Pelodiscus sinensis: one gene and its partners. The protein of the gene in region 1 interacts with the protein of each later gene in a pairwise test. Links are inferred from orthologs where the notes say so. Each region holds a gene or a part of one and is shown in the gene's direction. Other genes may lie near its edges. The genes, in order: MCM10, CEP72 and TRIM37.

Evidence for each region.
Region 2: the proteins of MCM10 (region 1) and CEP72 interact in a two-hybrid assay, tested with the Homo sapiens proteins (2 studies listed by BioGRID and IntAct). The two-hybrid records come from large-scale screens. The link is inferred for Pelodiscus sinensis from reciprocal best matches to the Homo sapiens genes MCM10 and CEP72.
Region 3: the proteins of MCM10 (region 1) and TRIM37 interact in a two-hybrid assay, tested with the Homo sapiens proteins (2 studies listed by BioGRID and IntAct). The link is inferred for Pelodiscus sinensis from reciprocal best matches to the Homo sapiens genes MCM10 and TRIM37.

The regions. Positions count from the first base shown.
Region 1 is NC_134711.1:13,735,049-13,742,743, forward strand, and holds the start of MCM10 (protein MCM10 homolog), read left to right. Parts: upstream 1-4,658; 5' UTR 4,659-4,983; intron 4,984-7,695. UniProt on the Homo sapiens protein: Acts as a replication initiation factor that brings together the MCM2-7 helicase and the DNA polymerase alpha/primase complex in order to initiate DNA replication. Additionally, plays a role in preventing DNA damage during replication.
Region 2 is NC_134712.1:145,501,811-145,509,423, forward strand, and holds the start of CEP72 (centrosomal protein of 72 kDa), read left to right. Parts: upstream 1-4,523; 5' UTR 4,524-4,772; coding exon 4,773-4,833; intron 4,834-5,647; coding exon 5,648-5,775; intron 5,776-7,444; coding exon 7,445-7,613. UniProt on the Homo sapiens protein: Involved in the recruitment of key centrosomal proteins to the centrosome.
Region 3 is NC_134731.1:5,328,363-5,336,409, reverse strand, and holds the start of TRIM37 (E3 ubiquitin-protein ligase TRIM37), read left to right. Parts: upstream 1-4,997; 5' UTR 4,998-5,010; coding exon 5,011-5,164; exon of another isoform or gene 5,165-5,272; coding exon 5,273-5,370; intron 5,371-8,047. UniProt on the Homo sapiens protein: E3 ubiquitin-protein ligase required to prevent centriole reduplication. Probably acts by ubiquitinating positive regulators of centriole reduplication.

The DNA.
Region 1 (7,695 bases):
TCCTGGCCTGGAGCAAGAAGCATAGTCCTGACAGGACTGGGGGCAGGCCTATGGTAGGGTGCAGGGCCAACAGCTGGGAGGGGAGCCTTGACCTCCCCTGATCCGGCAACCACTGTGGTTTAGGACCGCTCAGATCCTGATGGTGTCAGACCAGGGAGGTCCCACCAGAGGCGTAGCGAAGGGGCAATTGCCCCCGGGTATCACGCTAGGGGGCTGCCGGCCAGGATGAGAACGAGCGCATGCTGGGTGCATGGGCGGCGAGTTATTGGCCGTCTTTCCCCCCAGCCCCGGACCGTCCCTGCCGTGCGCAGCATTCAGTCGGCTCCCCCTTGCCTGCGCACGCTGCCGACTGCTGCTGCCGCCATGTACAGCATTTCCAGGTGACCGGGGAGACGCCCGGGCGTGATGTGATGTCACGGCCCGGGACTTTAAAAGTGTGTGGTGCCATGTGGGGCCGCACAGCCTAGCTTCCAGTTCAGAGTCCAAGGACTTTTGGGGCCCGAGCACAGAGTCTGGCCCCACAAAGTGGAAGGCAGAAGGTACAGCAGGGCAGGGAAGGGGTGGGAGAGGAAGGGGCTTGTGCGGAGGGGGAGGGGAGAGGGAAGATACAAATTGCAGGGGGCCAAGTGCAGACAATGAGGAAAAGGGCAGGAGGGGAGGTGTAAGTGGAAGGGGGACAGGGTGATGCTGCGAGAGGGTAAGGGCATTAGGGTCTAGAGGGGAGAGGGGGAGGTGCTGGGAGAAGGCTTGAAAGGAGGGGTGGGGATGGAGCAAGTCGTGTGAGGGCACACGGGCATGAGGAGAATGGGGGCAGAGGGTGGTGAGGGGGTGGGTATCAGGGGAAAAAGGGGGCAGGAGCAGTGAGGGAAGGGGGAGGCACCAGGAGGGTTCAGGGCTAAGGGAATGTGCAGGTGCCAGGGGATTCTGGGGGTGAAGCAGAAGGGCAGACACCTGCAGAGGAGGGACCAGCATCAGAGGAGAGAGGCAGGGCAGGTGTGTAGAGGGAGGTGTTAGAAGAGGGGATGAGGAGGGGTAGCTTATCTGATCAGAGTGGGGCTACTGGAGGAGTGGGCACAGGAGGGAGAGAAGGGCTGGTGGAGGGGGGCAGGTCGCAGGAGGGCTGAGGGCAGTGAGAAGGGCAGGAGTCAGGACAGCAGAGGAGGGTGAGGAGTTGGAGGCCAGCAGGCACCAGAGGAGATGATGGAGCGAAGAGAGGAGACATGGCAGCAGAGAGAAAAGGTAAAGGTTTTAAAATATTTATTAATAACTTGATATGCTGCCCACGGCCAGTTTGTTTGCGTCCCGCGGTGCAGTTTGGGTTTATGTGGAGATCAACACGTGGCCGGCAAGTGGGAGCTAAAACAAAAAAGTAGTCAGTGTAATGATCTTCTGTTGATATGTGTTTTAGTAGTTAATTTCTTGGACTGTCATTGCTCATGAAAAGTGCTTTCACGTGGGTAGAAATTGGGTAAATGTTGCATTTTATTAATATCAGAAGAACTGACTTAAATGGGGCCTGTGTGTTGTATAGTTTTGCCTTAATCTTTGTATTCATGCCTGTCTTGTGTGAGAGAAGCTATTTGTATATACTTGCTTGCATATGCAACCACACTTAAGTTGAGGCCCTCAGCATGTTCTGTAAGTATCAGTGTGGCCCCTAGAGCTTCCAAAGTTGAGTTGCCCTAGCTCATCCCTGACAGGTGTCTGTCTAACCTGGTCTTAAATATCTCCAGTGATGGAGATTCCGCAATCTCCCTGGCAATTTATTCCAGTGTTTAACCACCCTGACAGGCAGGAAGTTTTTCCTAATGTCCAGCCTAAACCTCCCTTGCTGCAATTTAAGCCCATTGCTTCTCATCCTAACCTCAGAGGCCAAGGAGAACAATTTTTCTTCCTCCTCCTTATGATACTCTTTTAGATACTTGAAAGCTGCTCTCATGTCCCTTTTCGGTCTTCTCTTTTCCAAGGTAAACAAGGCCAATTCCTTCAGCCTTGCCTCATATCTCATGTTCTCTAGACCTTTCATCATTTGTGTTGATCGTCTCTGGACTTTCTCCAGTTTCTCCACGTTTCCTGAAACGTGGCGCCCAGAACTAGGCATGATACTCCAGCTGGGGCCTAATGTAGATGGCTCATTCCCTGCCTAGGGGATGTAAGACTGGGGGGGTTAATTTCCAGTCCTCCTGTTTATTTTTTCCTAAGCCAGGAAGGCTCAGTAGTTCGGATAGGGGCTCTGCAGGAAGGCAGCCCACAATGTTCCTTGCCTGAAACCTTGTGCAGGTGTTAATCAGCTGTCCAGCCCACCCTAGAGGTGACTGCATTTCAGCATGCCTGAAGCAACACAATACCAGCAATGGACAGGGGAATGGCTCCCTGGCATGGCTTGCTCATGACTGCTTCAGTCCCATTGGATGGGCCTCAACCTCTTTTCTTTCCCTCCCCCACTTTGCAATGGGGCTGTAGACTCTGGGGGGGAGAGGGGTGGAGGCAGGCAGAGGAGTCTCCCTGCAGCAGATGTAGACACCTCTCTGTATTAATCATTCTCATTGAAGTTTTTAGCTTTGTATTGAGTCCTTTTACATGGAAACTTTGTATTACGTCTTGGTAGAATAGTCCCTAGGACAAGTGAGGCAGACACTGTCCCTGTGGGGTGAATGAGGTGGGAATGTATAAGGTGGAAGGTGACACCTCTGGGCAGTTGCAAAGGTTGGAGAGGGAATGGAAGCCAGATCCAAGATCAATGAGCCCTGGGAAGTGGGCCCATTGAAAGGAGACTGGACCTGTGGATGCCTTGGGGGTCAGCAGCAAGGGCCTGCTTTGGGAAGCCCCCTCTTTGGAGATGAATGTGGCAGCATTGAGACACCACCCAGAAGCAGGCGCCACAGACACTAACTGCAGATTCACGGGATGACTCTCACAGATCTTGCACATGCATAAGATGATAGTTCTGCAGGAGGGGGGGCCAGTGATGTAGCAAGGGGGTCAGAGGGGTCAGTTGCCCCTGGGCACAATGCTAGGGAGGCTCCAATTTAATCCCATTCTGCTCCCCCCACTATCCCTTCAGCTCACATGCTCCTACTCCACCTGCTACCGGCAGCTAGAACCTCCTCCCTGCCTCGCTGCTCCAAGCCTGACCCTGCTCCATCTCCACTGGCAGGTTAGTGCATGTGGGAGCCCGGCCTCAAACTGTAGGGGGTGCGGGAAGATGACGTACAAGTTCCCCTCAGCTGTGCACCAGGTTCGGGGCTGTGCCACATGGTGGCAGCAGCGGGGGGGGGGGGAGAGCGCAAAATTTTCCTTTGCCCCCGGGCACATAACAACCTCGCTACACCTCTGGGTCCCACCTGTGCTCAACAATGCAGCTCTCTACAGAGCTTAAATTGACATTTTAGACTAGCAAGTTATTTCTGCCATCTGGTGGAACTTGAAAAAATTTCTCTTGATCCCACTGGTTATTCCATTTTCTAATATTCAGTACAATTTGTATAACCTGTTACTGATATTGTACAGCCTTTAATAAGTAATTTTCCTTTACAAAACAAGAAGCCGACAAAACAAGTGACCACTAGATTTGTGTTGACTAATTTCCAAGTGGATTAAGATATTTAGGATCTGAGTCCAGACTGTGCCCTTCTCTGTTCTGGAGCACCTCTGCATTACATTTATAAGGGTGTTTTGTACAAGGGAGAAATTGAATAAGGCCTCCAACCCTACGCACATTCAATAGCACTACTCTTATGTGGCTGTGCAGGCTCATGCCTGACTAAACATGGGAAATGTTGTAACCGACTGCACACACAAAAACTGGCAAATGCACAATGCAAGCAAATTAGAAAAAGAAAACTGCAAGCAAACTGGGGAAAAGTCTCTTCTCTCCCCCTCTCTCTTACCCCCCCCCTCATTAATTTAAATTACTACAATCCCTAGAAGCGACGAGGAGTCCTGTGGCACCTTATAGACTAACTGAAGTGTAGGAGTATAAGCTTTCGTGGGCAAAGACCCACTTCGTCAGATGCCGAAGTGGGTGGCATCTGACGAAGTGGGTCTTTGCCCACGAAAGCTTATGCTCCTACACTTCAGTTAGTCTATAAGGTGCCACAGGACTCCTCGTCGCTTTTGCAGATTCAGACTAACACGGCTACCCCTCTGATACTCTACAATCCCTAGGTGCTACTTTACATAGGCAGAATGTAATTATCCCCCTTGAAATTACAGTCTGAAGCCGAGCAAACTGCTGAAGGCTGGCAGGTAGCTGAGTTGAGTTTAAAAAACTGCACAGAGTTGGGGAATGGTGGCCTGTTTGGAGGTAGGGCAGTGGTTCGGGCCAGGTGCCGTACAGCTGCCTGGGAAGTGGGGCATCCTCCTGAGGTGCCCAGCGATTTATCAGGGCCCAGAGGTTGGTTCGCCTGGGGGGGGGGGTGTCATGCAGCTGTCCCTTGGGATGTAACACTGTGATGCTGCAGAAAGCCCCAGGGAACGGGCCTGACACCCACGTGGGGTGCCCCAGGGTAGGGTGTGAGTGACAAGAGAGCAGCCCTGTCCCTTTTACGTAGCGCCACTACTGCAGTTAGTGACGTAAGCGATGGTGTGATGTCATCACCCTGCTTTCTGTGACATCACATCATCATAGCGCTCGGCCAACTGCCAGCGGTCTTTGCCCTGGGAGGTTGCGTCCCGGCTCTCCGGCAGGAGGACGAGGAGTAACAGGCAGCCGCCGCCGAGCCGGATGCGTGCGTGCCCCGAAGCAAGATGGCGCCGCTGGCTTCACAACGCTACTCTCTTTAGGGCCCAGCTGCCCCTATTAAAGATGGCGCCGATCACGCGGCGAGCCGTTCGGCGGACCAGAGACGCTGTACGCATGCGCAGCACTCCCGCGTCTCTCCGGGAGGCGGCAGCCGCGCCTGCGTGGAGTCGGAAAGGCGGGGCCTAATTAGAATTTTGGCGGGTGACCCGAAGTGCCTCAGAGGAGTGGAGCTAGGCGCGGTGAGTGCGGGGGTCGGAGGCCGCCCGGAGCAGGCGATCGGGGGAGGTGGGGATCCGGGGGGGACCCCGGGGAGGAGAAACCGGGGGGACCCCGGCGAGGAGAAACTGGGGGGGTGGGAATCCGGGGGGGACCCCAGCAAGGAGAAACCGGGGAGGTGGGAATCCGGGGGGGACCCCGGGGAGGAGAGATCGGGGGGGGGTGGGAATCCGGGGGGGGGAATCCGGGGGGGACCCCCAGGGAGGAGAAATCGAAGGAGGTGGGGATCCGTGGGGGACCCCGGGGAGGAGAAACCGGTGGGGTGGGGATCCGTGGGGGACCCTGGGGAGGAGAGCTCGGGGGGGGACCCCGGGGAGGAGAAACCGGGGGGGGTGGGAATCCGGGGGGGACCCCAGGGAGGAGAGATCGGGGGGGGGGCCCGGGGAGGAGAAACCGGGGGGGGTGGGAATCCGGGGGGGACCCCAGGGAGGAGAGATCGGGGGGGGGGCCCGGGGAGGAGAGATCAAGCTTGTGGGTTCTTAGGAGGGGATCTCTGAGGGGCGCAGCCCATGGGACGCGAGGTGCGTGCCGCTAGGGGATGTAGGGCAGGTCCCTGGTGGAAGGATGGGGGGGGGAGAAGGGCTCCAGGAAGGGAAGAGAACAGCGTTGTGGATTCCCTGGGTGGGAGGCGGGTTTGGGGATCCCTGGGGGAGGGAGGAGATGGGAGCCCAGTGGGGGACAGGTTCTGAGCTGGGGCATGTGGGGTTGGGGTGCGAGGGGGGCTCTGGAGGTGTTCAGGGAAGGGAAGGTGCTGGGAGGGGAGTCCGGGATAGATCCGGGAGGCGGGTCTGTCTGAATGCTCATGAGGCAGTCACCACTGTGAAGCATCTCACAAGTAATTCAAAGAGATTGGGAAGAGGGTCAGAAATGAAACCCACTCATCCCTGAATTCTCCATCATCACCCTGCCCTGTAACCGCGGATCCCCCCCATGCTGCACCCAGTCTCCTGTTGCACCCACTGGACCCTCACCCCTGCTACAGGGGATGATGTTTCAAATGTTATGTCTTCAGCTCCCTGTGCCTTGCTGTGTGCCTGGGTGGACCTTAGCATAGTAATTCTGTGAAAACCTAATTGCCATGCTAGCCCCAGGTCTATTGAGTCTAGTATGCTCTCTGGGACAATGCCACCAAGTGTTTCAGAGAAATGTACAAGAATGTTGCTGTCTCCAGATGTTTGGTAATCTACCCCATTGCAAGTCTCATGCTGTGCCCTAACATTTAACAGTCTATTGTGTTCAAGACCTGACACATGAGGGGGGCACCCCTTCCAAAACTCTCGTTTGCATTAACTGTTAGAGCTCTGGATAGTTTGTATCCATATAAATGTTTGACTTCTTTTAAATTCTACTTAATTCATTTGAGTTTTGCAAGTTCTAATTTCAAGTGTTTCAAATTCCCTTACCTGTGCTACAAAAAAAAATTCCCCTTTTTGTGCATTAGTAATAGTAATTGTGTATTGGCACCCTCAAAAAATGAGTACAGGCTCTGCCGAAAAAGCTCCCTGCTATCGGCAGAGCTGTGGCTAGACTTCACTTTCACTTTCGAAAGGGCTCGTGATTGGCACAGCACCCCAACGTAAATCTTGGGCTCATTTGCACTTTCGAAGTGCCTAATCTACATCCCTCCGTCGGCAGAACGGTGTAGTGTAGACACACCCTAACAGGAAAAACTTAAACAAATAGTCTAGTAGGACCTTAAAGACTAACAAAACATGTAGGTGGTATAATGAGAAGTAGGTTGCGCCCACAAAAGCGCATGATATCTACATGTTTTGTTAGACATTAGTTTAGCTACATCTTTCAGGGATGTGAGAAATCCACACCCTTGAAAGGTGTACATATACCAATCTAAACCCTACTGTAGACAACACCAAGTCAACGGAAGAATTTTTCCATCCACCCCTCTCAGAGGCAGATGGAGTAGCTACATTGGCAGGCATAGGCAGTGTCTACACTGAAACACTACAAAATCATACCTCTCTATTCGTACATGCATGCACACAAACCCCAAGTCATATACAACTAATCTGGGTTACTTGATTTTAGTACAGGCAGTCCCCGAGTTACGTGGATTCGACTTATGTCGGATCCGCAGTTACGAACGGGGCCCTCCCTCTCCCTGGTCTCCAGCAGACCAGGGAGAGGAAGCAAAGCGGCGGAACACGCGGGCAGCGGACAGGGCTGTCCGCTGCCCGCGGAGCACGCTGTCCGCTGTCTGGGCTGTCCGCTGCTCGCGTGTTCCGCCGCTTTGCTCCCTGTCCCCCTGGTCCGCAGACCAGGGGGACGGGGAGCAAAGCAGAGCAAAGCCACGGAGCCCGAGGGCAGCAGGACAGCCACGGCGCGTCTGGGCTGTCCCGCTGCCCCCGTGCTCCACGGCTTTGCTCCAGATGCCTGTGGTGCAGCAGCTGGGGTGCTGCCGGTTGGTCCCGTAGCGCCGCTCTGGGCGCTACTGGACCAACCCGGCAGCACCCCAGCTGCTCTGCCCCAGGCGTCCTGATTCAGCCACTGCTGGTCAGTTTCAGCAGCGGCTGAATCAGGATGCCTGGGGCAGAGCAGCTGGGGTGCTGCTGGGTTGGTCCAGTAGCGCCGAGGAGCGGCGGCGCTACTGGACCAACCCAGCAGCACCCCAGCTGCTCTGCCCCAGGCGTCCCCAAGTCAGCCGCTGCTGAAACTGA
Region 2 (7,613 bases), on another chromosome or scaffold:
GAGGAGGTAGGCAAGCCAGAAGCAGGAGCAGAGCACCGGCTGTCCAGGAGGATCACTTTAAGCATGCGTCTCTGCAGAGAGCATGCTGCAGTGCCTGGGCTTTAAGGCTACCTCTGTGACCTTCCAGAAGCACTTCTGGGTGTCTTCTTCAGTCGACAGACCGTCCCGCGGTCAGGATACTCTTTGTCGACAGAAGTAGTCTGGATGCTCTTTGTCGACAGAAGTTTTGTCGACAAAACTTCTGTCGATGGAAGCCTGTAGTCTAGACGTACCCTAAAAGAATAAAAGAGCTGTTGTGGCAATCCATTTTCAGTAGTCTAACTTCACTTTCCACCATTGCTTAGAAAGAGATGGAGGGGAGTGCTGATGCAAAGGCTAGCCATTTCAAGATGGTCACATACAGATTTTCTTTTACAATGAAATAAAAAATGTGATCAAGCAGCAACTTTGAAAATTTCAAAATCTCATCTATCTCAAATTCAAATTTATTAATATTGAACTTCACTTGAGGTATTAAACAAAGTAAGATTTATAAGCATTCGTCTGTGCTGAATTCATATATCAGAAAAATATGCTGAGTCAGAATCATATTGATCCAGTTCAAAATCAATGCAGTCCAAAGTTAAAATAGGTCTCTCATAAGCAATATTCCATGGCTAATTACTTCTTAGATAGCTTATCTTTTTCTAGTGTCAACAGAACAAATGTTTTTGGAAAATCATTTACAAAGGCTAGTGAACAAGATTGTTAAAAAATGTAAGAGCAGATCAAAAGGCAGGAAGACAGAGGGAAAAATTCTGCTCTGATACACACCTGACACTATCTCATTAAAATTAAAGAAATGTAGAGGGTAGAGTGTAAGCCAATGGAGAATGAAACCCATTGTATTTAAGGACATTAGTATGGTCAGAAGAAAGCAAACAGATAGGATTATTGTTTTCTGCTTTTAGCTTCTGTTTTCTTTTCCTTTATTATTTAATAAAAGACTCATTGCAAAATCTTAATTTTGTTTAGAAATACATTATGCACGAGGTATACTTTGCACAATTACATCAATGCATCCATATGACACTGAATTTTAGTATATTTTTTCTCATTTTGTTGATGATAAGTTTTTTTCTCCATCCAAGTTGTATTCTGACAATTCTTTTAGCCATTCCAAATATACTAGAGGGGTGTGTCTAGACTGGCAAGATTTTGCGCAAAAGCTTGCCAGCAATCTACACTGGCCGCTTGAATGTAGTAGACAGGCACCTTAATTTTTTGCGCAAGAAAGCCCAATGGCTAAAATGGCCATCGGAGCTTTCTTGCGCAAAAGCATGTCTAGACGCTCTTTTGCGGAAATACTTTTAACAGAAAAACTTTTCCGTTAAAAGTATTTCCGCAAAATCATGCCAGTCTAGACGCAGCCGAGATGTTTTAGATGTTTATTTTGGGAGAATTTCTCATTTTGCTACTACAGGTTGCAACTACCTAAACCAGGATTCTCTGGCCTAGTTTACACTGGAGCAGAAGGTCGACCTAAGATACACAACTCAAGCTACGTTAATTGGAGTCAACATATCTTAAATAACTGTCCACAGAGTGGGAGGTCAATGGGAGCAAATACTCTTATCAGCTTCCCTTAATCCTTGCAGGAAGCAGGAGTATCAGTGCTGACAGGAGTGCCCTCTGAGTTCGATTTAGTATGTCTTCACTAGACCTACTAATTCAAATCCCAGAATATTGGCCATGGCAGTGTCGATATTCCGTGTAGTGTAGACATGCCCTCTGGTCCACAGATGTTCTTGGACCAGAGAATCCTGGAGCTGGAAGCCCTGCCAGCCAGGAGCTTGGTGGCAGGGAGGCTAGTGGCTGGGAGCTCTGCCAAGTTATTCCTGAAGTTGCAAAGTGACAATGAGGAGGCATTCAGAGAGGTGCTGAGCACAGTGGAACACAACCTTTGGGCTCAGGAAACAAGCATCGAGTGTTGGGATCACATTGTCATGCAAGCCTGGAATGATAGCTGCAGAATTTTCGGACGAGGAAAACCACTTTCATAGGATTGTGTGCTGAGCTTTCCTCCAACACAAGGACACGTGAATGAGAGTTGCCGTGCTGCTGGAGAAGCACGCGGTGATCACACTGTGGAAGCTGGGTATTCCCGACATCTTTTGCTCAGTTGCCAATCAGTTTGAAGTGGGAAAGTTGATTGTTGGACGCATGTTAATGAAAGTGTGCAGGGCCATCAGTCTCATCCTACTCTGCAAGACTGTGACTCTAGGCAATGTACATGAAATTGTGGATGGCTCTGCTTGGATGGCTTCCTGAACTGTGATGGGGCAATAGATGGCACACATATTCCAATTCTGGCACCAGACCAGCAAGCCTCCAAGTACATTAACAGCAAGGGGCATTTCTCCATGGCTCTGCAGGCACCTGTGGATCGCTGTGGGCATTTCACAGACATTCGTGCAGGCTGGCCCAGAAAGATGCATAATGCATGCATCTTTTGGAATACTGGCCTATTCAGAAAGCAGCAAGTGGGGACTTTCTTCTCAGACAAGAAGATCACTGTGAGGGAAGTGGAAATGACCATTGTGATTCTTGGAAACCCTGCCTACCCCTTAGTGTCATAGCTCATAAAGCCATACTCAAGGAGCCTTGACAACAGTAAAGAGCAGTTCAATAGCAGGCTGACTGTGGAGTATGCTTTTGGGTGTTTGAAAGCCTGCTGCTGTTGATTGTACAGGAAGCTGGACCTGGACAATGACAACATCTCTATGACTATTGGCATGCGCTGTACCCTCCATAATATTTGCGAAAGGAGGGGTGAAAGCTTCACTCAGGCCTGGACTGCTGAAGCTCAGCGTCTGGAAGCTGAGTTTGAACAGCCTGAGACCAGGGCTATGAAAGGAGCACAGAGTCTCATGTATTTTTCTATGTCTAGGTTTCATATGCAGCCTTGCTGTGCAAGAGGGCCTGCAGTTCATCAGAGCTAAACCTCATGGGGATGGGTGTTGAGTGCATCAGGGAGGGGCCTGTGGGAGTCTGCATGGATGGAGATTGAGGGAGTAGATGTGGAGTGTGGTGGTGGTGGCCAAATTGTGTTGGCAGTGATGGAACGTGTATGGAAAACAGTTTTGGGACACCGGCTGCAGGGGGTGGGGGAGGCATTTGCACAGCTGCTCTGTCTGAAATGCTAAATTGCACCTAGAGTGTTTCCACTTACTACTCCATAATGTTTAGGTTAAGAGCTACTCTGTGCTTTCTTTCTGCTCCCTCCTCTCACTGTCCCTCCACTCCTTCAATTCTCTCAGCAGCAGTGAGACTCAGGATGTCATGCAAAAACTCCTCTCAAGTCTTTTGGGGCCATTTTCTTGCTTTGTGAAGCCTTTCCACAGGTGATATCAGTTCAGACTAGCATGCCAAAGTTCAGCTCTGTCAAGACAAATCTGCAACACTTACAGAGGGTCCATTATTGACATTCCATTGTTCACATTCCTAGCATTGACTCACTATCCTGGAGTGAGCATACATAAGATACAGAATCATACAATGGTGAGTTCATCTCTAGGGCAAGGGAATTCCTTGATGCATGGGGGCAGGAAATTTCTTGGTGCTGAGGAACAGGGGTTTTCATTGGTGCAGGACCCTACTGTACTCTGGGCAGGTGTGACTTGGAAACACCACTGTGTGGGGGCCTAATTGTTAGTAATAGTCACTCAATTTCCAAAGGCTGTATTAATCATGGAAGACATTTCGCTGCTTAGGGTGAGCAGGGAAGCAAACAAGAGTCTTCTGGGAGACTGCAGGTTCAATCCAGGACCATACATGGTGGCTACGTCTAGACTGGCATGATTTTCCGGAAATGCTTTTAACGGAAAAGTTTTGCGTCTAGATTGGCACGGACGCTTTTCCGGAAGAGCACTTTTTGCGGAAAAGCAGCCATGGCCAATCTAGGCGCACTTTTCCGCAAAAAAGCCTCCATCGTCATTTTCGCGATCGGGGCTTTTTTGCGCAAAACAAATCTCAGCTGTTTACACTGGCCCTTTTGCGCAAAAGGGACTTTTGCCAGAACGGGCGCACCCTAGTATTTTCGCAAAAAGCACTGATTTCTTACATGAGATCATCAGTGTTCTTGCGGAAATTCAAGAAGGGAAGTTTAGACAGCTGGCAAGTTTTTCTGCAAAAGCAGCTGCCTTACCATTGTAAACACCTTGAAAGTAAGCGTGACAAGGGCTGATTTTCCTGTGCAGTAACGTGCAAATGCAGACTGCGCCTCAGACAACTCAATTGATTTTGACAGGGCTAGCAAAAGGCGTATCCCTGACACCAAGACCATGTCCCAGCGAATCCGCACAGTCCAGCTGCACATTACGAAGGCGGTGGAGCTTCTCTATAGCGTGGCCGGGCAATGCTGCTACTGGGCAGGCTCCGCGGCCCCCACTAACAGAATAGTTCAGTCCATGCCCAGAGAGCCAGCAGCTCGGTGGAGGGGAGGCCCTGCTAAGGCTCTGGCCGAGGGCGCTGCTGCTGCTGCACGACGATCGCAATGCACCTCCGCGCAGGCGCACAACCACGCGGCATCCGCAGCACGGCCGCGCGCCACAGGCTGCGCCCCGCAACGAACTGACTGCGGGGCCGCTTCCCGCCCGGCCTCAGAGCGGGCAGAGGGCGCCGCCCGGAGCCCCCGCCCCCTCCGCAAGCCCCGCCCCCTCGCGGTATCTATTGGCGCTTCCGGCGGGGAGCTGCAGCAGTATCTCAGCGCGCATGCGCAGTGTTTGAACGCGATGGCGGCGGTCACGGAGGAGGCCATTCGGGAGAGAGTCAATCTGCGGCACCAGAACCTGGGTAAGCAACTCCCCTTCCGCGGGCGCTGCTGCTCGCGGTAGCAGGCGCCCGGAGACGTCAGCCCCGCCCACACGCCTCTCCGCCTCGCCCTGGCGGTTAAAACCGTTAATCCGGCGGATCGCGGCGGGGCAGAAAACAAATAGGCGGGGCTTGTGTCGTGGTCACGCCCCGAGCACCTCTGACCAATGGGAGGGCCCGATCTCTGTTGTGGCTGCCCTCGGGCTCCCGGGTTCTGTGGTCCAGGAGCATCCAAGGTTCTGCCGGATCAGGGATGTTGCTGGCCCAGAGAGTGCTGGAGTTTGGAGTTACTGCCTGTGGGTATACTCTGTACACAAGTGGCTATAGATGGGATCTGATTGCAAGAAACAATTTATAGGGGCACCCCTCTTTGGCCACTTGTGACTGTCACTAGAGTTGAGAATAGAAACAGAATGCTCTTTGTGGGCTTGTCCTCTGTCTTCCTGGCTCAGTTACCTTGCAGACTGCCTGGTGGGAAGCAATACAGATGGAAGTGTATTATCTGCTTTAGGTCCCCTTTGCACTTCTACCAAGCAGCATACCCCCAAGAAGTTTAACATTTTCCCTAATAGGCATAAGGAAGCCAGTCCCTACTGTTTTTAGTTCCACTTGTCAATGATAAATATTTCTAATTCACGGGCACACACAACGCTAAAAATCATAAAAATTGAACAGCTTCATCCTGCATTGTCTGTCACATCAATAATCAGGTAGATTTGAAATTTATTTTAATAATTTTAGTAATTTCATTTTTCTTATGATAAATATATTCAGGTTTTAAATTTTCTCATTGTAGCTGATGTCCGATCATTGTCTCTTCCTGGAACTTATCATGAAAAGATTACTCATTTAGGACATTCTCTGAAAAATTTCACTCGCCTAAAATCCTTAGATCTCTCTCGCAATGCATTGGTTAGCTTGGAGGTATGTTTATCTTAATTTTTTAAAATTATTTTTTAAGACAAATGTAACAAGAATAGGTTGGCTCTTGAAGTCGTGGAGAAAGGACAAGAGAATTGGAGGAGTTGTATTGAGGGTTTTATGGAGATTGGAACAACATTGGGGGAGGATTTTGTTCTTTGCAAACCTGGTACAGGTTGAACCTTTCTTTTCTGGGACTCTGGTCCAGCAACATCCATGGTCCAGAAGAACTGCGGATATTACTGGACCAAAGAGCTCCTGGACCAGAGAGGTCCCACTTGTAACTTTTTTTTTTAATAAGGTAAATGTTTCTGCATTACTTTGGAACATTGGTAACAGCATATAGAATGTTTTATTTCCACATGACAATTTTGATCTAGTTTGGGCTAAGAATGTTAAGTATCAGGTAATTGACTAATCGAATAGTTGATGCATTTTTGCATCAGCTATTTGATTAGTTGATAGGGTGCCTCCAGCACTGAAGTATAGCAACTGCCCCAGGTGAAAGTGCCTGTGGCGCTGCCACTTTGAAATGCTGCAGCGCCGCGTGGAGCCTGGGGTCAGCTGGGGAGTCCCCAGCTGACCTCAGGCTCCATGCGGTGCTGCCACTTTGAAGTACCCTACTCTTCTTCCCCCCCTTGTTGCCTCTGTTATAGAGGCAGCAAGGGGCGGGGGAAGCGACTAGTTGACTATCTGATAAACGTTTGCTTATTGGATAGTCAACTAGTCCTTCACATCCCTTGTTTGGGCTAGTGGTCAAAAATTATTTTCTGTTGGTTGTTCAAAAGCACTGTGTATAAAATCATAAAATCGTTTGTCTAATTCCAGATGGGTGGGAGTCCAGATTATAATTGGTACCCTTGATAAAAGTCTCAGCAAAAGATAGCACAGAGTCTGAACTAATGTATGAAAATATAACACATTGCCTTTCTCAAAGATACTTCAGCGGTTTGGTATAGTGAAACACTAATTACCAAACCTGTATTATACTCCTTTGTAGTTGAAGCAGGATAATAGATTAAGTACTGTCAATCCATCACCTTTTTCTGTTGTGGCTCTGATCTTAAAAAGACTTACGCTCATATTTAATTCAATACATGAGTTCATCCAATGCCCCTGGGACTCCCTGTGGTTAGAATTAAGCACGTGCTTAAAACTTTGCAGGATGAGAGTATAAGTGCAATTGCTTCTCTCAACCCTTTTTTGTGAAGAACAGCAACAATATGCTTAACTCTACAGAAGTCTGAGGTATGAGCATAGCTAGCACATCATAGCTAGTTTAATGAAACCACTTTCTGCTGCTAATATGTAAAATACACTAATGAAGAAAATTCATATCTGTAGCATATGATAGCTTGAAGAACTCAGATTTGTGTCAGTATTTGAGGTGCTCAATTAGTATTTTAAATTCAATAATTGCTCATCTTGCTCAGCAAAAGTTTTAATTTAAAAAGTGTTTTCAGTGTCATTAGAATGAGGTTTTTTTTTTTTTTTTTTTAGACCAACATCCCTTTTCATATAGACCACCAAACTACTACAGGCAGATAGAAAAAAGTGCTAAGTCACTACTTGTCTGGCTTTGATTTATACCAGTGACCTAGTGTATTTCATTCAACAAAAACTAAGTTTATATTACAAACTAATATGATTTTTGTTTTCTATACATTAACAGGGTATTCAGCATTTGATATTTTTAGAAAAGATCAATCTCTATTACAATCACATTTCATCACTATCAGAAATATTTCGACTTCATAGTTTAGCTGCACTCAAGGATGTGGACCTCCGCCTGAACCCGGTAGTAAAAAATGAGTCTGATTATCGTCTTTTTGTTGTGCACA
Region 3 (8,047 bases), on another chromosome or scaffold:
GTTCATATCCATAGAGGTTAGGAACAAGCACACTGAGGAGTCTGAATCTCTTCTTTATTTGGCTTGGCCCTTGGATCTTAGATAGTGAATAGGTGATCAGTAAGACAAAGGCTTTCTCCTCCAGGTGTAACTTTATAAGGATGGGTCAGAAGATAGACAATTTGCATTCTCTTCCTTCCAGTTTTCTCCAAAGAAACCTACTTGGCTGTCTACATATACACTTTGTTTTAGATAGCCCTTTGAAGCTGATAGCACTTTCCAGGGTTTACATTAATCACTTAATCAGGTTTCCTCCCTCAAGGTGCTGCATATGATTTCACAATAACATATATATTTGTAATGCAGTGAATTCCTAAAACGCTGACACTTAATTCAATAAAGGTAGTATAGAATATTGCGAGAAATTGCCCCATCTATCACAGCATACCTTCTGAGTCTCTCCATAACTGATTTCTGTAAGTCAATGGCCTGACTTAGTCACCATTCCAGAACATCTTTTTAAAAAAAGAAAAAATGATAGAACTAGATAAAGGCTGCTTCCATGGGACTGCAGCTCTACATAATATCAGTTCAGTCATGCAAACTACATCTCTCTTGGACAACAACTACTGATTCTAGCACTTCAAGCTGCTGTTTTGCAGTGATATGTAGGTGTTGGCTCCATAACTATGGACAAGGAAATGACTTCCTTAAGATTCTATTAACTTTTTTGTTTTTCCTTAAGGTTTTATTTTTAAAGAAAGAGGACCGAGGACAACTTGGCTGCGTCTAGACTGGCCGCTTGAATTTCCGCAAGAACACTGAATTACTGAATTCAAGAACTGAGGAAATACTGTGCTGCTCCCTTTTGGGCAAAAGTCCTTTTGCACAAAGCTTTTTATTTTGATATACACTAGAGGATTTACCTGGCATTTCTCCAGTCCTTGTGGGGGAACAAGGCGGATGTGGGTGAAGGAGTCAGGTCTGGGGGCAATTATTGGAGTGCATATGATAGTAAGAACTGTGCTGCTCTGGCACCTATGGCCAGGCCTGGCCCATGTCTACACTGGGGGGAACAGAGGGAGTCAGTCACTCTGGCTAGCAGCCCCAGCCAGTGTCTCTGGGAGCAGGGAGGGGACCTTGCTGGTTAGCCAGCAGTTACTTGGTGGGGAGCCAAGGATAGGCTGCCAGGCCCTGGTGGTGCTCCTGGGGGGACCTGGGCGTGAGGGCTACTGGCTGGCAGAGCCCCCATCTAACATGAGGGGATGAGAGGCTTGAGGTGGTGGGGGGACACTTACTCGGGGCCAGTGAATGACAACATGGAGAGCCCAGGCTTCAGCTGGCCACTGTCTTCCTGGTGCAGCTGCCCCACTGCGGTCACTGCACCCCATGCTTGCTGCCTGCAGTGATCATTGCAAAGTACAACTGTCCCTGCTCTCTGTCCCTTCCATTTCTGTGTTATGGAAAACAATCCCATTCCAGGCATCTCTCATTTTCCTGGCACAACCAAACCCTGACCTTGCTATAAGATAAGAGGGAGCTGCATACTAAATTTGGTGGCCCTAGCTCTTACTGTTTAGGAGGAATTCTTGAACAAACAGACACGGACGGACTCACTGACAGGCACACTAACTCTCTAAAATTATAAAATAATGGTTCTGTTCCAGTATCAGGCTGCTTTGCTTTTCCCTTTTTCTGGATTGATAATTATTAAATTGCTTCTGCCACTTGGGTGAACTGATACGAGTGCAGGTGGGCAACAACTGCATCTGAAATGGTGCTGACTGTGATTTTAAAGGCAAATATTGCCAAAGATAAACCATCGACCAGGCCATTCTAGAAATTGGTTAAACTGAGTTGTCCTTACAACTAAATTATTTAGTAGGGATTTGTTTGCCCTGTTGCTGAAATACACTGTCAGCAACAGGTTACTTTGCTAACTTAGGCAAAGCTAAAGACAACCAAGTATACAATGCATAGCATTAGAAGGATTAAGGTTTAACAGCTGCTTCCTGCAGTTGCAGAAAATCAGTAGGACTGGCCAGTTTTTCCGGAAAATCAGCCACTTTTCCGAAAAAACTTGCCAGCTGTCTACACTGTCCGCTTGAATTTCCGCAAAAGCACTGACTTCCTACTGTAAGAAATCAGTGCTTTTTGCGGAAATATTATGCTGCTCCCATTCGGGCAAAAGTCCCTTTTGTGCAAAACTTTTGCGCAAAAGGGCCAGTGTAGACAGCTGAGATTTGTTTTGCGCAAAAAAGCCCCGATCGCGAAAATGGCGATCGGGGCTTTTTTGCGCAAAAGCACGTCTAGATTGGCCACGGACGCTTTTCCGCAAAAAGTGCTTTTGCGGAAAAGCGTCCATGCCGATTTAGATGCTCTTTTCCGAAAATGCTTTTAACGGAAAACTTTTCCGTTAAAAGCATTTCTGGAAAATCATGCCAGTCTAGACATAGCCCAGGATTGCTGGCATAAAGCACAGGTAGTAATGGTCTAAGACCTAAGATCAGAGCTATACTTTGAAGAAATAGATGTGTGGATCTGCAACAGCTATAGGGAACTATTTAAACTTCTTTAGGAGTTGATGATGTCATCAACTGTAGCAGGGGCTACAGAGAACACTGAGCTGTGTAGCTGGCAGGTATGTGACAAGTGGTTTACAAGTATTTACTAATAATGCCAATCTGACTGATTAAAATAACGTTGAGCCTTCGTCTCCCTTCCCCCCACCAAAAAAAAACCCCAGGAAACTGACATACCCATTAAGTTCTTTTTATTTAACCCCTGTGGGTATGTATAGCTTTTAAAGCTTTTCTTTGGAATCCCAAGGCCTAGAAATTTAATTTTAAAAAATCAAACAAAAAAAGCTGATTATTGCCTAATCACACAATTTCAAAATTTCAGACTTTACAAAAAACAGCAATATTGTAAGATTTGGCAATATTGACACTTTAAGCTAGTTGGAGTAGGGCGCGCTGCCCCTTTGAAACACCACTGCAGTGTTTCAAAGTGGCAGCGCTGTGTGAAGCCCAGAGTCAGCTGGGGAGTCCCCTGCTGATCCTGGGCTCCAAGCCACTTTGAAATGCATAAGAGCTCCTGATCAGGACTCTTGTACACTTCAAAGCTGGCATGTCACAGGGAGCCAGGGGTCAGCTGGGGAGACCCCCCTGCTAATCCCAGGCTCCAAGCAGTGCTGCTGCTTTGAAATACTACGCGGAGTCCCCAGCTGATCCTGGGCTCTGTGCAGCTTGCCAGCTTTGAAATGTACAAGAGTCCCCAGTGGGGGCTCTTGTGCATTTCAAAGAGGAAGTGCAGCATGGAGCCTGGGGCCAGTGCAGGACTCTGAGTCCTCCATGTGGGTGCTTTGAAATGCACAAGAGCCCCCACCTGGGCTCTTGTGCATTTCAAAGTGGAAGCACCTGCAAGGAGCCTGGAGTCAGCTGGACTCCTGCTGGCCCTGGGCTCCAGATGGTGTTCCAACTTTGAAATGCACCCGAGCCCCCACTGGGGCTCTTGCACATTTCAAAGGCAGAACGTCGATGTGCCTATGGGTAGTAAAGGGAAATTCTATTGACTACTCGACTAATAAATTAATTGCTTGTTAATATTAAGTTGGAGCGGAGATGGTTGTTTTTTATGGGCTGGATTTTTCAAAAGAGCTATGCACTCTTAACTCAGAGAAATCAGTGAGAACTGTTTGTGCTCCATATTTCAAAAAAATGGTGCCCTTTAATCTGTATGGGGGAATTCTCTTTAGGATAGATGATGGCTAAAGTAATGTTTAATAGATTTGCGGGCCGGATGTGTTTTTAAAATGGTTATTTTAATCACAGACATATAGAATTGAAACACAGGAAAATTGTAGCCTATTATTGCTACCCTTTTCTGCTTATTAGGGTGGCTCTTTAAACAAAAAAAATCTGTTTACAGTAGGCATGTGAATGGTTAACTGGTAAGCATCACTCTTATGAAACACCACTACCGTTTCAAAGTGGCAGCACTGTGAGAAGCCCAGAATCAGCAAGATAAGCAAGTAATGCTTATCCGTTATGGTTAAGGAGCTGGATCAACCTCTTCCTTTACCCCAGTCAACTCAGAGAGATTAGTCTTCAGCCTCACCCCTTCCGCCCCAGACCCACCCCTTCTGGGCGTGTGGCTGGTCCACAACCAGGTTCCAAAATTCATTCAATGACATCCTTCCCCGAACCACGAGGCAGGACACAATAGCCCCAAGGTGAGCAGCCTGCCTCAGCTAGCCGTGGTGCTTGTCTGACCTGACTTGCAAGAAGATCTCTAACTTTGCATTGGTTTTTCTATCCCTCTCCCCCCCCCCCTTGATTTGTGCTGTAGGGACTCACTCAAGCCTTTCTGTTCCACAGTCTTAAAATCCCTTTTTGCGCTGACTAAATCAGCCACGCCAGGGCTCATGCTACTGCTTGGGAAGCAGGCCAGTGTCCTCTTCCCAGCTCCAGTGAGATTAGAGGCTGGGGCGGAAGATGGTGCATGTTGCTGCCTGCAGAAGATGGGGGAGGGGAGCTCAGGCATACGAACCGGCCTGCAAAACTGGGACACGGTTACCCTGTTTCACCTAACGCTGCAGCAATGCAGGGAGAGGCGGCTGCACGTTCTGCTGCTGCAACCCGCTGCAGTGGGGGCGGGGAGGGGCCAGGCATAGGCAACTGATGCTACTGGGGGAGGGACCCCACTGAGCAGTTACATTTTTGGCGGGGATCTAGCGAGGCGGCTCGCGCCCCGAGTGCTACCACGCGTCCCTACCGGGGCCAGGTTTCCCGCGATGATTTTAGGCTCACCAGGGAGGCAGCAAATCTGGCGGGGCCAGGACCCAGCCCTGGCACAAATGAAGCGGGGGCCGTGCCCTAGGCTGACTCTGCAGCCCTGGGGGAAAGTGGTGCGGGGGGGGGGGTGAGGCGCTGTAGCCTCTGGAGATGCTGCATCTTGCAGCAGGAGGTCGCACCCTCTGCAGATGCTGGAGAAGGGCGGGAGGTGGGGGAGGGGCGGTACCCTTTGCAGATGCTCCCCCTCGAGGCGGCGCCTGCGCGCTGCGGCCAGGCGGGTCGCGTGACGGAGGGGGCGGGGCCGGGCCGGCTCTCCTCAGCCGCAAGGCGGGAGCGCGAGCGGAGGGCGGAGCCGCCGGCGCCCCTGTCTCCCCGGGCGAACATGGCCGGTAGCTAGTGGGGCCGGGGCGCTGCGGAGGGAGCCGGGCCGCTGCGGAGGGAGCCTCTCCCGCCCGCGGCTCCTCACGCTCTCCCCACCCCCCCCTTCTCTCCCGCAGGGGCCGCGTCCGGGACCTGCTCCCCGGGGCGCTGGGGAGCCGCCCCGCTGAGGGCGGGCGCCGGGCGAGCCGAGGCCATGGACGAGCAGAGCGTGGAGGTGAGGGGGCGGGGAGGGGCAGCGTCCACCTGCCGGGGCGGGCCCGGCTCGGCTCCCCTCACGGGCGGGAGCCTGCCTCAGGACGCCTGGGTTCCGCCCCGGCTCGGCTCCCCTCACGGGCGGGAGCCTGCCTCAGGACGCCTGGGTTCCGCCCCGGCTCGTTGCGGGAGCATCGCTCTGCTGCTAGGCACGTCTCTAAAACAAACCGCAGGCGGCCGCCAATGCTCCCTCTCGTTAGTGTTTTTCCCCCCCGCCCCGGGACGGAATAAATTTTATGGTGTGCGCGGAGGCACGCGCGGGTGTGCACCACCCGGCGGAACGCACGCTGCCGGCGGTGGGAGCTCTGGGCAGCACCTGAATCTCTCCTGGGGGCCCGCCCAAGCGCTCCGCTGATAGGGTAACCGGGCGGCCACCTGTGCTGGCTGCACATCCTTGGCCACCAGCTAGAGTGGCCTGTGGGTCTTCACATGGGGGAAGGGAGGTGGTGTTTGGGCTGTCAGCCTCCGACAGAGCCCGGGGGGTGGGAATAACAAACTAGAACCTGATCTCTACGAGAAACCTAAGTTGACCTCGCTGTGGTGCTGGGGGTGTGGGAATTGCCCAAATTTTTCACACCGCTAGGAGGCGAACTGAGGTTGATCTAAGACAAATCAATGGCTGGGTGCCACCAGGTTGTGCAGAGAGACTGATGTTCGATGTATTAATATGTGGCCTGGTAAAGGGAGTAGTATGCAGTGGTGAGGCAAAAATGCAGGTCACACAAGTATTTAGATTAGTCCGGGTTCTTCAAAAAATCTTCTCAAACTCCAGAGACATACAAGGAAGCTAGGAATGGAAAACGTGGTGGCTGATGAACTTCAGTTTTTACAGGGGAAAGGTAGAACGCACGTTGGAAGGAGTAATTGGAACCCATCGTACATTGTGCTGCAGTATAGTTGTAACCACACAAGAAAATAGTCCAGACATCATCGTGGATGGTGTTAATGAAAAAACATAAGCTCAGTGTGCAGTGATAGGAAATAAACAATTCTGTCGTGTAGGAAATACAGAAAATGCTACAGGTTGCCCCTCTGAAAACTGGCACACGCTGGTCCAGCAACATGCCGGACTTCGGATGCTCCTGGACCAGAGAACCCAGCAGGATAATGTCAAGAGGGCCAGCTGGATCTGGGGGCAGCAGGAGCCCCACAGCAGTGCTGGGGCCAGGGATTGAAGGGGTGGGGATCAGGATGGGGCTGGGGAACCCCAGGTGCCTGCAGCAGCACAGCCAGAAGCTGTAGAGCCTGGCTGTTCACAGCAGTGGAGCCAAAGAACCCTAACAACCTGTGGCAGGCAGCAGAGGATCAGGGGGCCAGAGAAGCCCAGCCACCTGCAGCAGCGTGGGGCTGGGGATATCTGACCGCATACAGCAGCATGGGCCAGACAACCCCAGCCACCTGTGTCGGGGCGGCTGGCTCAGGCCTGTGGCAGGGGATGCCTCCCTGATCCGGCAAATTCCTGACGGTGCAAGATCAGGGAGGTCCAACCTGTATAATGCCACTTTTATAAAGAAATAAAAGGTTGTCCTCATCTGAAATACTGTATTCAGCTATGGTCACTCTTTCTCAAAAATTATAGCAACAGCAAGAGGTCAGAGATACAAAATAAGTGGTTTTGAAGTCAGGATGCGAATGATTAACTGGTTAACCGGTTAACTGGTGGGGCCTAGAGCAGCACCCCCTGTAGGGTGTCGCAGGTAGGGGCAGCTCCTGTGGGCCTGGGCACCCTGCAGGCAGGGGCTGCTCCAGCCCAGCTGCGGACAGCGGGGTGGGGGTACTCTAGCTGGGCTGAAATGGCCCTCCTGCTCACCTTCCCTTTAACCAGCTAACCCATTAGTGAATTAAACAGGATTTTACATCTCTATTTTGAAGTATGGAAAGATTTATGTAAGAGAGCAAGATGAGTGAGACTGTTTAATATAGATAGGAGTTAAAAAGGGTTTATATATATTGGGAAATTGACCATCATATCTATAGCAGATTAACTATTCAGCTATAGTTACTCTGCGCTAAGTGATTTTTGAGTTCTTACATGGATTTTTTTTAACAATTTGTCCACATCTTTTTTAAATTGTGGTGTCCAGAATTGGACACAGTACTCCAGCTAGGGCCTCAGCAATGGTGAGAAGAATGAGACCATTAACTTTCATGTTTTTACATACAACACTTCTGTTGTTAAACCCCAGAATCATACTAGTCTTGTTTGCAGCTGCATCACATTGGCAATTCATATTCAGTTTCATGTTGATACATTGGAGATGGTTCTGTGAAGAGCCCCAACAGTGTTAAAGGATTGGAAAGCATGCCTAACAGTGAGTGATAGACTTAAGGAGCTTGAACTTTCTAATTTAAAAAAGAGAAGGTTAAAGAGTGAGATCAGTTTGTAAGTACCTACATGGGGAAAAATTATTTGACAATACTATTAAGTTCAGCAGGCTATTATACCAAGATCCAATGACAGCAAGTAGTTAGACAACTTCAGACAAGAAATGAGGTGTACATTTTTAACAGTGAGCTAATTAATTAGGATAATTGGATGTTTCTTTAAAAAATGTGCTCTAGTTGAAATATAACTCCACAATAATTCCAATGGCCTGCGTTAGCAGGAGGTCAGATTAAATGATCACATTGGCTCTCCT